Linked DNA regions of Notamacropus eugenii. The protein of the gene in region 1 purifies or fractionates together with the protein of each later gene. This does not show direct contact. Links are inferred from orthologs where the notes say so. Each region holds a gene or a part of one and is shown in the gene's direction. Other genes may lie near its edges.

What was found. Proteins that work in one complex are often made in the same cells at the same time.
Region 2: the proteins of KPNA1 (region 1) and MTA3 purify together in Homo sapiens (affinity purification with mass spectrometry; 3 studies listed by BioGRID and IntAct, with this or other methods). This does not show direct contact. The link is inferred for Notamacropus eugenii from reciprocal best matches to the Homo sapiens genes KPNA1 and MTA3.

Annotation. Positions count from the first base shown.
Region 1 is NC_092876.1:342,694,591-342,701,521, forward strand, and holds the start of KPNA1 (importin subunit alpha-5), read left to right. Parts: upstream 1-3,861; 5' UTR 3,862-3,990; intron 3,991-4,232; exon of another isoform or gene 4,233-4,339; intron 4,340-6,931. UniProt on the Homo sapiens protein: Functions in nuclear protein import as an adapter protein for nuclear receptor KPNB1. Binds specifically and directly to substrates containing either a simple or bipartite NLS motif.
Region 2 is NC_092872.1:667,600,219-667,607,325, reverse strand, and holds the start of MTA3 (metastasis-associated protein MTA3), read left to right. Parts: upstream 1-4,033; 5' UTR 4,034-4,347; coding exon 4,348-4,375; intron 4,376-7,107. UniProt on the Homo sapiens protein: Acts as a component of the histone deacetylase NuRD complex which participates in the remodeling of chromatin.

The DNA of each region.
Region 1 (6,931 bases):
TTATAAAAGAAGAAATAGTTTGCAAAAAAAATAAAATAGTTTACAAACAGAAAAACTATGGGAAAAAGTAAAGAAAGTGAAAATACATTGTTTTGACCTGCATTGAGACTCCATCAGTTCTTCTCTGGATGTGGATAGCATTTTCCCTTGTGAGTCTTTTGGAATTGTCTTGGATCATTGTATTGCTGAGAAGAGCTAAGTCAATCATAATTGATCATCACATAATTTTACTATTACTACGTACAATGTTCTCCTGGTTCTGCTCACTCCACTGTATATCAGTTCATTTAAGTCTTACCAGGTTTTTCTGAAGTCTGCCTGTTCATCATTTCTTATAGCACAATAGTATTTCATTACATTCATACACCACAACTTGTTCAGCCATTCCCCAACTGGTGCATCTCCTCAATTTCCTATTCTTTTTCACCACAAAAAAGAGCTGCTACAAATATTTTTGTATATATTGGTCCTTTTGCCTTTTTTTATAATCTCTTTGGGATACAGAGCTAGTAGTGGTATTGCTAGATCAAAGGGTATGCACAATTTGATCACCCATTAGGCATCGTTCCAAATTGTTCTCTAGAATGGCTGGATCAGTTCACAACTCCACCAACAGTGCATTAGTATCCCAATTTTCCCATATTCTCTCCAAAGTTTATCATTTTCCTTTTGTTATATTGGCCAATTTGATGGGTGTGAGAGGTACATCAGAGTTGTTTTAATTTGTATTTCTCTAATAGTGATTTAGAGCATTTTTTCATGACTATAGATAGCTTTGATTTCTTCTGGATGAATACCTTGACACCTCTGCTTTAGAGAGATCTTTCCCTTCCCAGGCCACCAGTATCAGGGGAATCAGCACTGAAAGGAAAAGACCCTGCTGCAGAGACTATTGACTACAGGAGAGAGTCCAATTTGAGTCCTCAGAGAGTACATATTGACACTAAACAATGGGTACTTTTGTTTGAAGAAGAACATTTTTTTCAAAGCACCTTTACATTTATTATCATACCTTATCCTAATTCAGCAAGGCTGCATGCTAATCAGGAAAAGGTATTTTTGTTCTTATTTTACAGAATATGAAAATGAGAAATTGTGTGCTAAATGACTTTTTCCTTTAAATCAGATCTAGGGCTCAAACACTATTCTTTGGGCTTCCAACCCCAGACTCTTTCCTTCCACTTCCCTTGGTAGTCCAGGGATCAATTTCGTTTGACTGAACAAGGGAGAAAGATATGGGCTGTGGTACTACATAGTCATTTTAACCTCCATCATCCCACGCTTAGGACAGACTTCTCATTCAATTCCTATTTGTCTTCTGAGTATTTGTACTAGGTGATATTGTGGGAGAAAGAAGTACAAAACAAATAATAGGCAGGACTGAAAATTATTATTGTCATTGAAAACAGCTTCCTCTGGTCTGAAGTCTTGTCTGGACAGTGGGCCTGAGACTACTTGAAAACTACTGGGCCTGGCTTTCATCCCTGTGGCCTCATTTACTGTCCTGAACAGCAAGAGGAAGGTAGTTCCAATGGCCAGAGCTACCTCAATGACAGTGAAGGCCAGCAGAGCTTGAATGGTCCCCTGGATGCTGGGCCTGGAGCCACTAGGTTTGAATTCTGCCTTTGATGCTTTAGATGCAGAGGTTTTCAAAGTGGGCCATACCACCCCCCAGGGGGCACTGGAATAATCCAGTAGTACTAGCCTCATAGTGTCTTGGGTGCAATTGGGGGTTATTGAATAAAAATAAAAGGGTGTTGAAAGCATAAGGAAAGAAGATAAGAAAATTTTGAAAAATGGTTGGTACATGTTTCATCTGTTGTGTAACAGAATTAATGAGATTACATTTTCCAAATATACACACAAAATGTAAGTTACAACCAATCAGCGGTCAAATCCACTGACAGGTCTCAATAAGCAAGTATTGGCATGCGAGTATATTGTGCATTGTCTGGAAGTCCAGCACGCGCTGGCAGGAATATGTGCAGGTAATGACTTGTTTACGATATGATACTATACAGTTACATAACACAATATTGCATCATCAAAATTTCAATGAAGGAAAGCCCCCACAAATTTACAATAAATTATTAAATTTAAGATGTGTCATTTAAAAAATATTTTGTATTTTTTTGAAATGACACAAATAAAAAAAGTTAAAGGGTTAAAGAAAGTAGATTTCTGGGAGGGGCACTGAGAAATTTTTTTAAAAGGGGTGATAGGCCAAATAAGTTTGGGAACCTTTGCTTTAGAGATAGGTAACTGTGGCCAAAGGGTGACTATGACCCAGTGACTTATCTCTGAATAATCATATTTGTTATCGTAGGGCGGTTGTGAGGAAAGTGCTTTACAAAACATAAGACACTATGTTAAAGTAAAAGAGTATTTTAAATAAAGCTTTAGTGTTGTTTTCCCTACTTTCGTTTAAGAGATATGGCTCACTTCCTAGATGGTCCTCAGGTCCTTGTTCATACTTCAATGTGTATTTTATTCCCCAGTTTGTAGAAGATGGATTAGATTTATTTAGCATGGCCTTAGAGAGCAGAGGTAGCAGTGAGTGGGATCTTGCTTTGATTGTGAAGCTTTTCTAACTGAACACAGCCTACAAAAATGTGATGGAGGTAGTGGGCTCCTTCCAAGTAGCTTTCTTCAGAAGGAGGTTGGATGGCCACTTGTGTCAGATGTTGTAGAGGGGAATGGGCCATCTTTTCAGCTACAAGCAATTCTCAAAAGCCATATGCTAAGTCAGAGGGGCTGAGAATCCACGGGGTGGACGAAGGGAATTCCTGCTTGCGCCTCTGAAGCTTTGTGACTCTAAGAGTCCTGGACATGAGAGACACAAGAGAAAGGGATCAGAACAGGTCTCCTGGGTAGGCCCCACCTTGGCAAGGTCAGGAGATCCCAGATTCGCTGGGACATTCATTCCTACTAAGAAGCTAACTGATCAGCCAGAATCCCATCTGCGTTGGAACGATCTTCCAGGCTGGTCAGCAGCACAGTTTGCAGTCAAACGTCGGGCCCCCTGCTGAGGGGCTCTAGAGCCGTCCTCAAGTCAGGGAGATGCGGCTTCTAGGTCCACATCAATACTGACCAGCTCAGTGCCGCAAGCACCACATGGGGCTATAAACCAAGCTAGGGCTCGGAGTCCTCCCCGGGATGGAAACAAAAGGGCAAAGTCAAGACTTCGGGGCTACAAATGTTTATCAAGCATCGGCTGTGGATAACACAGGCAGCAGTAACGCAGAAAGGTATTCGGACGAGTGCAGACAGAGCAAAGAGATATTGTCCCCCAGGCCGTAATCCACCGTAGGGAAGTGCGTGAAACGGGCCAAAAGGCCGGGTAGGCCGGTCCGAGCGCCCCTCCCTCCTCCGCGGAGGGACGACGCCCAGGCTCCAAAGCTCCCGGTAGCTTCTGCGAGGCCTGTTCCCTGCCCTTCCCTAGTAATCCGACACTAGTTGCTCCTCCCTCCTTATTATCACTCTCCTAATCCCCAGGCCCTTCACTCCCCAATATAAACCGAGTACTGCAGACTTCATCTTCAATCCATCCGTTTTTCTGAGCTAGACCGATCCTAGTTTTTCTTCTTTTGAACACAAGCTGAAGGGGGAGGGGCTGTTGGTTAGAAGCTGTTACGGGCGGGTGGAACTACAATTCCCAGAAACCTGTCCGGGACCCTAATCGCGGAAAGGGAACGCGCAGGCGTAGAAACTGAGCTTCCCCCTCTTCTCCCCCCCCCCCGGCCGCCCCCTCCCAACCTCCGACGTATGTAAGCTGCTATCACGCAGGCGCGCTCCGAACGCCGGCTTCTCTGGTCTGGCTGCTTGCTCGGTACGCGGCGGCGGCGGCGGCGGCGGCGGCGGCGGAGAGCGAGCGAGGCCTGGTGAGCGCCTCTGAAGCCGCAGGTCAGCTGTGCGGTCGAGAGAACCGGCGGACGCTTGACGCCCCCACTTTACCCACCGTTCGCTCGAGATCGGCTGCCACGGAACCAGGTGGGCGCGCGGGTGGCGGCGGTTGGGGAGGGGAAGGCGTCCGCCAGGATCCTCCCTCTTTTTCTTCCTCCCTCCCCCCTCCCACTCCGGGCTGTCCTCCCGCGGGGAATGGGGAGAGGCCCCGGGGCGGGGGCGGGGAGGGCGCGAGCTCCGATCCCTGGGCCTGTCATCTTGCGCCTTCTCCTCCTGTAGCCGCGCAGCTAACGGCAACGTTGGGGAGGCCCTGCCGGCCTGGGGCTGGGCCCTGAGGTGCTGGTCACTGTCGGGAACGCCGGCTGCGGCGGATCGGCGGCGGCGAGAGCAGCGGGAGGAGGAGGAGGAGGAGGAGGAGGAGGAAAGGGAGGAGGAGGTGTGTGTGGGGGAGGGGAGCTAGGACTGGGCGCCCGCAGGGGCGTCGACGGCGGGGAGGGCGAGCCTAGACGCGGTGCCTGCGTGGTAGATTGGGGTGGCGGGGGGCGCCGGAGGAGCTTGTCATAGGCTATGTGAGTGTGTGTGTGTGTGTGCGTGCGTGTGTGACATCGTGTTAATCCAGACAGGAAGGGACAGTCCGGGTGGGAGTTCACAAGTTCGGGCGCCCCCACCTACCCCCCGGCCCCAAAGCGGAGCGGATGGGTATTTTTGGGGGGAGGGGGGAGACAAGGCAGGACGCTGCGCTGTGGAGGTGGGGGTGGGGCGCGGCTACGGCGACAGATGTCATAACAACACCGGCCTGAAAAGGCTGACGGGGGTGTGGTAATTATAGGCATGACAGAAGCACTTGTGACTAGAACGCGGATAAATGGCGATTCGTGTGCCGGCATGGCTGGGAGGTGTGACGTGCGAAGAGTTCTGGAGGATGGTGCCCAGTGGCGGGGAGGTGGTAGAGCCCGCTGAGGGGGCCTGGGCTGGGGGAGGCAAGGACAGCCCTGAATGCTGCCCCGATTATAAAACTGGAGAAATAAAAAAATACATTAATCCTTCAAAAATTCTGTTTAAGCTCTTTAGGACAAATAATCGCAAAATACTTCTACCTCCATACTGTCTTACAGTATGATATGTCAAAGGACCATTTTACTAAGCTCTTTTTTGTGATTTAATCTATACATATGGGTTAATCTTTTTTTTGTTCTCCTGTCATTAATGGCCCTCTTTATTTTTATCTTGTTTTTGCTGTTTTTAATTTTTGAAATGATCAAGAGCTTGTTTTCTAGATCCTTTGAGTAGTAATGAATTACTCATTTTCTCATTGGCAGAAATCATAAATAACCTCATGTATTTATTGAAATAAATTGTTATACTTGCAGCACGTGGATTTCATAATATGGAGAAGGTGTGTTTTTGGACTAGAGTGGATGGAGGACTAGGGGAACTAGTAGAGCAATTGGGCAGACCATGATCCATGTCGGGGCAGAAGAAAGCCCTAAAGACTTGAGACAGGCCAGGAGGATTTGGGACTGAAGCTGATTACCTTCTTAGATTAATTTCAACAGAGCTAGGCTACCCAATCAAGCTTTCTGGAAGGGTCAGGGTGCAGTGTGAGAATACTGGATCTGGAGGTACTCCCTTTAAGGGTACAAATCACAGCCCCTTCTTACCTACCTGTTACATGCAATTCCTGCCCCTTGGACTACCGTAAACACATCACACAGAGCCTCCTGAAATGTTAAGGGCTGCCCTTCCTTTCCCTTGTTGTAATCGTGCACATGGGTTGTCAGATCAGTTACCTCTTACTTCATTTGCCCAACCTATCTTTTTCACTCATACATTCTTTAGTAACATTCTTTAATTTATTTCTCCCTATAATTCCATGTTTCTTTATTTTTTTTTGTATATTTATATAGTCTTTGCTTGTGCTCACTGCGGGCGTGCTCCGTTACCCTTTGGCTTAGTCTCATTTTCAGTTATTTGGACACTAGTGTTCAATGACACTGTTCTCACTACAACACTAGAAGAATGTTGGTATTTTTAAAATGATATTTAAAATACTCGTATTTTTAAAGGCTTAGGGTAATTAAAAGACCTTTGCAACATCTCAAAAGCAGTCCAACTTCTCTTGCTTTTCAATTTTGGGTCCAACTCATTGTCCATTTGCTGTATATGAACAAGATTTATGCTAATAGTCAAGCTATATAGATTTTCTGCCCAGTTACATATCATTGTGTGGATAATAGGGTTTTTTTTTCTACCTGTTCTTTCCTCTGTGGATGATTCAGATTTTTGAGTGATTATATTTGGCTCCAAAATGAACTATTCTATATGAAACTAAAATCCAGTTTTGAGTAAATCACTGACCTGTCCTATTTGTTTCTGAAGAATTCTAGGTTCGAATGCTGTTTATTTATTGCCAGTATTGTTCCCCTTAAGTAGTACAGGTGGCCAAGATAACCTTAATATTTGATCTGAAATGTTACTTTAGAATAATATATTTACAAAAAACACAGTAATTGTTAACTAATCTAGTGCAGTACTTTTATCAGTTACATATGTGAGGAGGAATTGTATGAAGAACACCTAAATATTACTAAATAATACTAAATAGTATGAGGAATACTTAGGAAAGGATTACGTATGATCCTTAAGTTTACCATCTGGTAGAGGAGATAAACTATACAGGCGTCAAAACATACAGATCAAAGTGCAGAAATAAATATCAGTTAAAATTTTATTATTTATTCTGCTGGAGTGAACCAGCTTGCTTATATTTAGCTTATGTTTGAGTTGAACTCTCTTCTCATCACTCCCTATTAAAATCCTTAACTTTCTTCAAGGAGCCAGTCCAGGTGTCATTTTCTACAGGAACCATTCTTGGTACCCCATAGTTGTGTTTATTGAAATCACAACTTATATTTTTACTTAGCTTAAATGTTGTATTTCTCCTGTAGAATGCAATCTTGAGTTCAGGGACATGTTCAGGAACATTTTTGTATTTCTAGTGCTCATTAAGCATCTAGGTAGTTAGGTG
Region 2 (7,107 bases), on another chromosome or scaffold:
CCTTTGCTGTCTCCCATTGACCCTCCCCTCCCCCAAGTCCACCCCATCTCCAGACACATAATATTTGAAGGATACCTGCTCAGTCCTGTCTCCCTGAGAGGACTGCTCTCCAAGGTTTGCTATCCAAGGCAGTGTTCCAAGCTCCAGATCCTTCTTTTATCCAATCAATAATAATACTTCTAGGATACTTTGATGGACCTAAAATTTCATATATGTAAGTATTTCCTTCCTTGGTGTAGATCACAGCTGTGGTAGAGGATGAGAAGGTAGAGAAATTGTATGAAAAAATGTGATAAGCTCTTGCAAATTAAATCAACTTATGCCTTAATACGTGGTGACTGTAATGCACATGTGGGTTTAAGGAGTGCTGGCCAAAATATATATGTTGGAAAATATGATTTAAGTACATGAAACAAAATAAAAAAGAAACAAAAGAGGTCAAATACTTGTAGATTACACTGAAGCTTCACATCTACATATCATGAACGTTTTGTTCAACAACAGAATTAGGAGGTGTGAAACAGAACAAACACTGAATAATACAGCTAAATCTGAAATTGACTCAGTTGTAATGGATAGGAAACAACTGGTTACGAGCAGGGAAGTCATTTTCCAATCAGCTGTGTTCAGTTAGATATGGACTGGTTAAAACCAGGATCAAAATCAATAACAAATAAAAATAAGAAGACATGACATGCAATTAAGACAACTCAGGGCTTTAAAATAGCGAACTGCTGCCATGAACAAATGGCTGAAATAGTTGTAAATGCTATCTTTATGGTCTAGTTAGTCATGGATGTGGAGCAGAAATGAATGACTTTGGACTAATCAAAGCAGAAAGTAAACTGGGAAGAAGGCTTGAATATATTTAGCTTATTAAGGGATTAATAGTGGACAAGTTTGTTTTGTTTTGTTTTTTAGTTATTCACAAATACCCAAAGAAGTAAGACGTGATAAAATTGCAATTTTTACATAAGTATTTGAACCACCTAAGCCAAAAAGTGTGATGGGACATTCTAGGAACATTACAGAAATATGGTCAGTAGAAAGGAGATTTATTAAGTTAATTTATCAAATGAATTTAAGCTTATTGGTGTAAACCTAGTCTTCAACAAACAAAAGAATGAGAATTAAAAGAAGAGACATCAACATAAACAATCACTACTTCCTGAAGAGAGGAGAGTACTAGATGTTCTACCACTATTGCCTAAAGAGATAATAATTCTCACCCATTTTAATTCTCTTTTTTCTGGAATTGAAAAAGGCAATACAACTTCATTTTAAAGAATTCAATTCAGTTCAACAACCATCAAGTTTAACTAGTGTAAATCACTTGTTACAATGAAGACGCCAAAAAACCCAAGAAAATTCCTCATTAAGTAGAACAATGATCTTCTCGCCAAGCTGAAATATATGGCAGCCAAAGGCAATGCCAGTCTACAACATTTTTTAGGGGAAATCTCAAAAGGGAGGATAGCAGAAGATTATAAGTATTATCACTTCACAAAATAATGAAAAGTGATAGTGAAAAAAAATTACAGAAAACTTGCAAGAAACCCAATAAAGCCAGATAATCGTGTGCGCATTAAAGGATAAAACTGGGAGGACAATAGAAGATGAAAAATGCAAAGGCTCTATAAGACTTTTTTACAACAACCTATTTTCTCCCTCAAAGACAGTGAAGTCCACCATATTTAGATCCTAACATTATTGTCTCTAATGTGGTACATAAAGAAGTAAAAATAATACTAAGGATAAAGAAGCTGAGAAGAGCAGCTGGGTTAGATTAGGTACCTACTTAAGGGTGCTTCTCTTTCCTCTCTAAGAAGCCAACTGCTGAAGAAGTCTTTTTTCTCTAGGACACTAGTATATGAATATTTATAATCAGAAACAAATTTGGAATTGTCTAGGAGTTAACTTGCAAAGCCTCCCTGAAAATTTATCTTTCCTGGTTAGTAGAACAGATGCCAGAATTATACTGCTTAAGGAATTCACAATCATTCCTTCTACACTGGGGTTCAGGAACAGTGTCTTAAACTCCACCTCAGGACTGGAGAAGCACATATCTATCATTGCCAAGTGCTTTTGCTGTAGGTTGTCAATACTGGTCAAAAGAGGCTGAAAAGGAGAGGTTGCTCTCTCCCTACTTGCAGAACTCTGTAAAAAAGCACAGGGGAAAATGCCTCTCAGTCTGTCTCCCTGAGTTTCAAGCACTGGGAACCCCTTAAGTGTTATCCTGTTTTACATCATTATCTAATTTATAAATTAGACAGGCCTTGATTCAGGTGATATAAAGTGATGGTGATATTGGGATATGTTCTGATTACAATTCTGTGGATCCTGTGCTACCAGACAAATAAAAGTCTTCCTGGGCTCATCTTTGAAACAGACAGGTAGAGCTTCCCTATGTCAGGGGATATTTTGATAAAAGTCTAGTACAATTGTGATAGCTTTAAGCTGAATCATGACAACTTCACCATTGTTAATTTTCTTCTTATGGAAGAGGAAAAGGCATTAAACCAAAGGTTCATATAGCCCTTGTAAAGGTGGAGTTCTTTTTATTAGCCTGAGTTCTCTAGTTTGGCTACACATAAAGTCTTGATTTCATCAAAAAATTTCTGTTTATTGTATCAAAGTAAATAAATGACTTGTCAGAAAGCTAAAAGAGTAGTCTTTCTCTTCTGGAGATTAAAAGAAAAACACTACAAGAATTGGAGCCTGGAATTAATGAGAGAGACGGCTGCTTCTCAGTCAGAAACTCCAAAGAAGGAACAACAGCATGGGGGCATCTTCATGTTTATTAAACAACAATGTTTGGGAACAGTTTGGAACCGATTTAGCTTGGGAACAGTTTAGTTTCACTAAATAAGGTTGTTTGGGTTCATTCGGGGATGTCTAGCTAGCTTCAGACTTTATTTGGTTTCTTGTTTTTGTCAGGATATGAAGGATATCAAAACCAAGTGGTTTGTTTAGAGGACCAAATTGGGAAAAATAACGACCCAGTGGAAAGCTCAGTTGCAAATAACTTGTTACTGTCCATCGCTACCAACCTAGTTGTCTTGTGCTTCTTGCTAATGGGGATGCTCATGGCAGCAAAGGCTGGCTGAATTTCCTTAACATTGACAAAGAAAAAGGAGCCCTTCTATTATGTCCTCTGCCCCCCACCCCTTTTCGTTCTGGATTCCTAGTCCTCTGGAACTATATTTGCCTTCATAGGTCTCTCTGTTTGCAGCTGAGAAAGGCAGTTTCCAAGGGACAAGAGGACAGGAACTGGACCTACAAATTGATGGTGTTATTTAGGGACTGAAACAGTCTTCCACCACCAATCTCCTCCCTTGTATTTTGTGGTTCCTAGTTCAAGGGGAAGTTCGGCACAAGGTTCCTTCAACATGCAAGACTAGCCTTATAGTGAAGAAGGAAGGCTGGCTGAGCTCTCCAAAAGTATTGGCAAAGAGGAAAGCATCATTCCTTATTCTTCCCTGCCTAGGGTTCTTTCCTCCCTAGGTTTGTACACCTCTGAAGCTATGACTGCCTTCATGGGTACCTTCGTCTTCAGCCCTAGAAGAAGCTGGTTGTCCCTGCAGTCACTAAGGGGCCAAGACAGTGGCTTAGTCCGACCTCCAGGTTCCCTCCCACGGTTCTGAACACTTCGAGGGGAAACAGGAGTATCAGACTCTCTCACCTTGCATGACTAGCCAAGTAAACTCAGAGCCACACATGCAGTTGAGGAAACACCACAGCATACTCCCACGTATGGCTTATGTGCACCCAAACTGCAACACACACACACACACACACACACACACACACGAGCTCCCAAGGGTAGTTGCAGAGCTAGAACCTAAAGGGGGTGATTGGGCAAGAGTAGCAACTGTGCGTACAGGTGTGTGGGGGATGGGGGATAAAAGGGGGAGGAGGTCATCGAGGCTGGGATCGTCCTAAATTCCCTAATGGGTTTAAGACCCTGAAATCACCAAGCCCAGGCTGTAGACCCTTAGCTCTCTCTCCACGGTCCCCTCAGGATTCTCCCCAGCGATCTCCCGCCAGTCACCCACGCCCGCCCCTTCGAGGGCAGGGCCCTATTAACCCGTGGCTGGCCCGGGGGGCGGGCCGCTCCCCCCTCCCTCTCCCTTCCCTTCCCCTGCTCTACCTCCTCTCTCACCCCCTCCTCTCCCCCTCCCCCTCCCCTCGGTGAGGCGGCGGCAGCGGCAGCAGTAACAGCAGCAGCAGCAGCAGCGGAGGCGGAGGCGGCTGAGGCTGAAGCGGCGGCGGCGGCGGGCGGGGCTCAGCTCGGGCTCCGGCTCCGGCTCCGGCTCCGGCTTGGGCTAGGCGGGCGGGCGGGCGGACATGGCGGCCAACATGTACCGGGTCGGAGGTAGGATGGAACCCGGGCCTGGGGGAAGAGGGGGCGGGAGAGCTGGAACCCTAACCGCTGGAGAGGGCGGGGGAGGAGAGGTGGGGGGCAGATCCCTTCCCCCCGCCGAGCCCCGCGTGCCCCCTCCCTCTGGGCCTGCGAGGGCCGCCCCTCCCCCGCGCCCCCCCCCCCCACCGCGCGCCCCCCCCCCCGCGGCCCCCCCCCCCCCGCCTTGCTAGTGGCCGCCCCCTCTCCCCGTGCCTCTCTCTCCTTGGCACCCCCCTCTCCCCTCCTGTCCCCTCGCCCAGGGGCCTGCCAGGCCCTCCCCCTCCCCCGGGCCTGCGTGGACCCCTGCCTCCCTACAGGGTCATGAGCTGATCGCCCTCCCATTCCCCTGGGGTAGGAGCTCCTGGTGGTAAGGGCGGTCGAGCATCCCCCACAATGTGGGTGCAGGGCATTGGGGCCCAGTGAGTGTGGAGCCAGGCCGTCCGTCCCCTGGAGGGGGAGCAGGCGGGCAGGCGGGCGGAGGGAGAGCCAGGCAGGCCTGTCTGCAGGGGCAGAGCCCTGCTTCTCCGCCCTCCCCGCTCAGGGGCCCTGCTCTGCCCAGCCCAGCCCGGGCCCCAGCTCCCCCAGGAGGCAGTCGCTGATGGGGAGCAGCAGCGCCTTGGGTTAGCGCCTGCCTCTTCGAAAAGGAGAGCGATAGCGTGAAACACAAACTTTCTCCCTCCTCGATTCCCTCCTGTCCCCTTCCTGACAAAATAATAATTCAGATGAGTGCAGTGCTTGCGTCTGAGAGGCTGCTCCAGCTTCTCTCTCATTAGCTCAGCTCATGGCTAGTGGTGGGAGGGATTGCACTGGTACTGGCTAAATGAGGCCACTTTGCAGGAAAAAGACAGGGAAAACAGGCACCAAGAGAGACAATAACAATGGAAATCCAGCCTCTCAAATAAAACACACAGTGGGAAGTTTCCAGTGAGCCTATTAGATTGAGACAACAAGCCATACTTCAGATTTTTCTCCTTTTCTGTGGAAAGCTTGTTCTGATATCCACATAAATGGGCCCAAAGGGAGTTAGATGATAAAAGGAATTTGGTGTCTATTCCAGGGGACCTTGCCCATGGTAAAGGCCTTCCTGGTATGGTGAAGCATGTAAATGTTTTCAAGTCCACACGCATTTGCTGTACTAAGCCTTCCTCATTGTCTCTTGATCTATTTTTGAAAAGTTACTTGGTCATTGAAATGTCAGACTTAGAAACCTTTAAGTTACGCGAAGTAGTTCTCATATGAAGAAAATGGTGACACTTGTATTATAATTAAAAGAAAATTGGAGATGAGCGGAAAATGGTTGTACCTACTGCCATCATCATATTCCTTTCATGGGATCATAGATTTAGCATTGGATATGAGAGAGCATATTGGGTGCCATTTATTCAGTGGGGGTTGAATAATTATAGCTAATGATGTTTAATCAGCCTGTGGTAATGCAAAGAGCATTGTTTTGAAGTCAGAGGAACTGTGTTCTAAACTCAGTTCTGTTGACTTAGTAAATAGAGTTCAGAAAAGACTTGGACTCAGTGATTAGAATTGCACCTGAACACTTTAGCTCTCTGATTCTGGGCAAGGCATGTAACCTTTCTGATGCTCAGTTTCCTCATCTGTAAAATAGATTAATACTTTGCACCTGTCTCAGAGAAAAATCAAATGAGCTGGCATGGGTCAGTTTTCTTTAAACTTAGAGCTTTTTGTATATGTGAGTTGCTTTTTAAAAATTATTCCTAGGGTAACTATGGGTAAGTCAAACACTCTCTGCCTCCATTGCTTCACCTGTAAGTTCAGAATGTTATACTCCATTATCTCCAAGGTCCCTCCTAGGTCTAGTCACATAGGCTCCCAATGAGGGTGTCATCACTGACTCCTCTCTCACTCTCTCACCCTCACATAGACAGTCTTTGCCAAGTCTTATTTGTTCTTCCTTTGAAACATCTCTTGTATATTTGCCCCTTGTTCTCCTCAGACATTAACGCTGCTCTGGTGCAGGCTCTCTTTACTTGGAGCTTAGACTATGGCAATAGTCTGCTGATAGGTCTTCCTGCCTTACGTCTCTCCATATTCCAGTCCATCCTCCACCCAGTTGTCAGTGGTCTTCCTAAAGTGCAAGTCTGACCAAATTATTCCCCATATTCAGTCACATCCAATGACTCTATTTTACATTCAGGATCAAATATAAAATTTGATTTGGCTTTTAAAGTGCTTCATAATCTGCCCCCTTGTTATCTTTCCAGTCTTATTACACCTTACTTGATAACTTTCTTTCCCCACCCCTTTCATGTATTTTTTCCTCCAGGGACAGTGGCTTCCTTGCTGTTTCTTAAGTCTGTTCTCTCCTTCACCCTGAGATTCTCTCCAATTTATTCTGTGTATATTTTGTAGTATTTGCATGTTTTATTTCCCATTAGATAATGAATTCCTTGAGAATAGGGACATTGCCTTTCTCCAGTTTTATCACATTGCCTAGCATGTAGTTGGCACTCCATAAATGCTTGTTAACATGACTCTAAATCTATGATCCTAGTTGACCATGTTAATTGAAATAAGGATATAAATGAAATTCATTGCCTGTAGATAACAAACATGTGGGCCATGTACTGTATATTTTATTTAAGCTTGGTTTTACATAGTGAATGAGCTGAGCTGAGAGGTGTGGAATATGAATTGTATAATTTTCATGACTTCAATTAGATCGGTGACAGAAT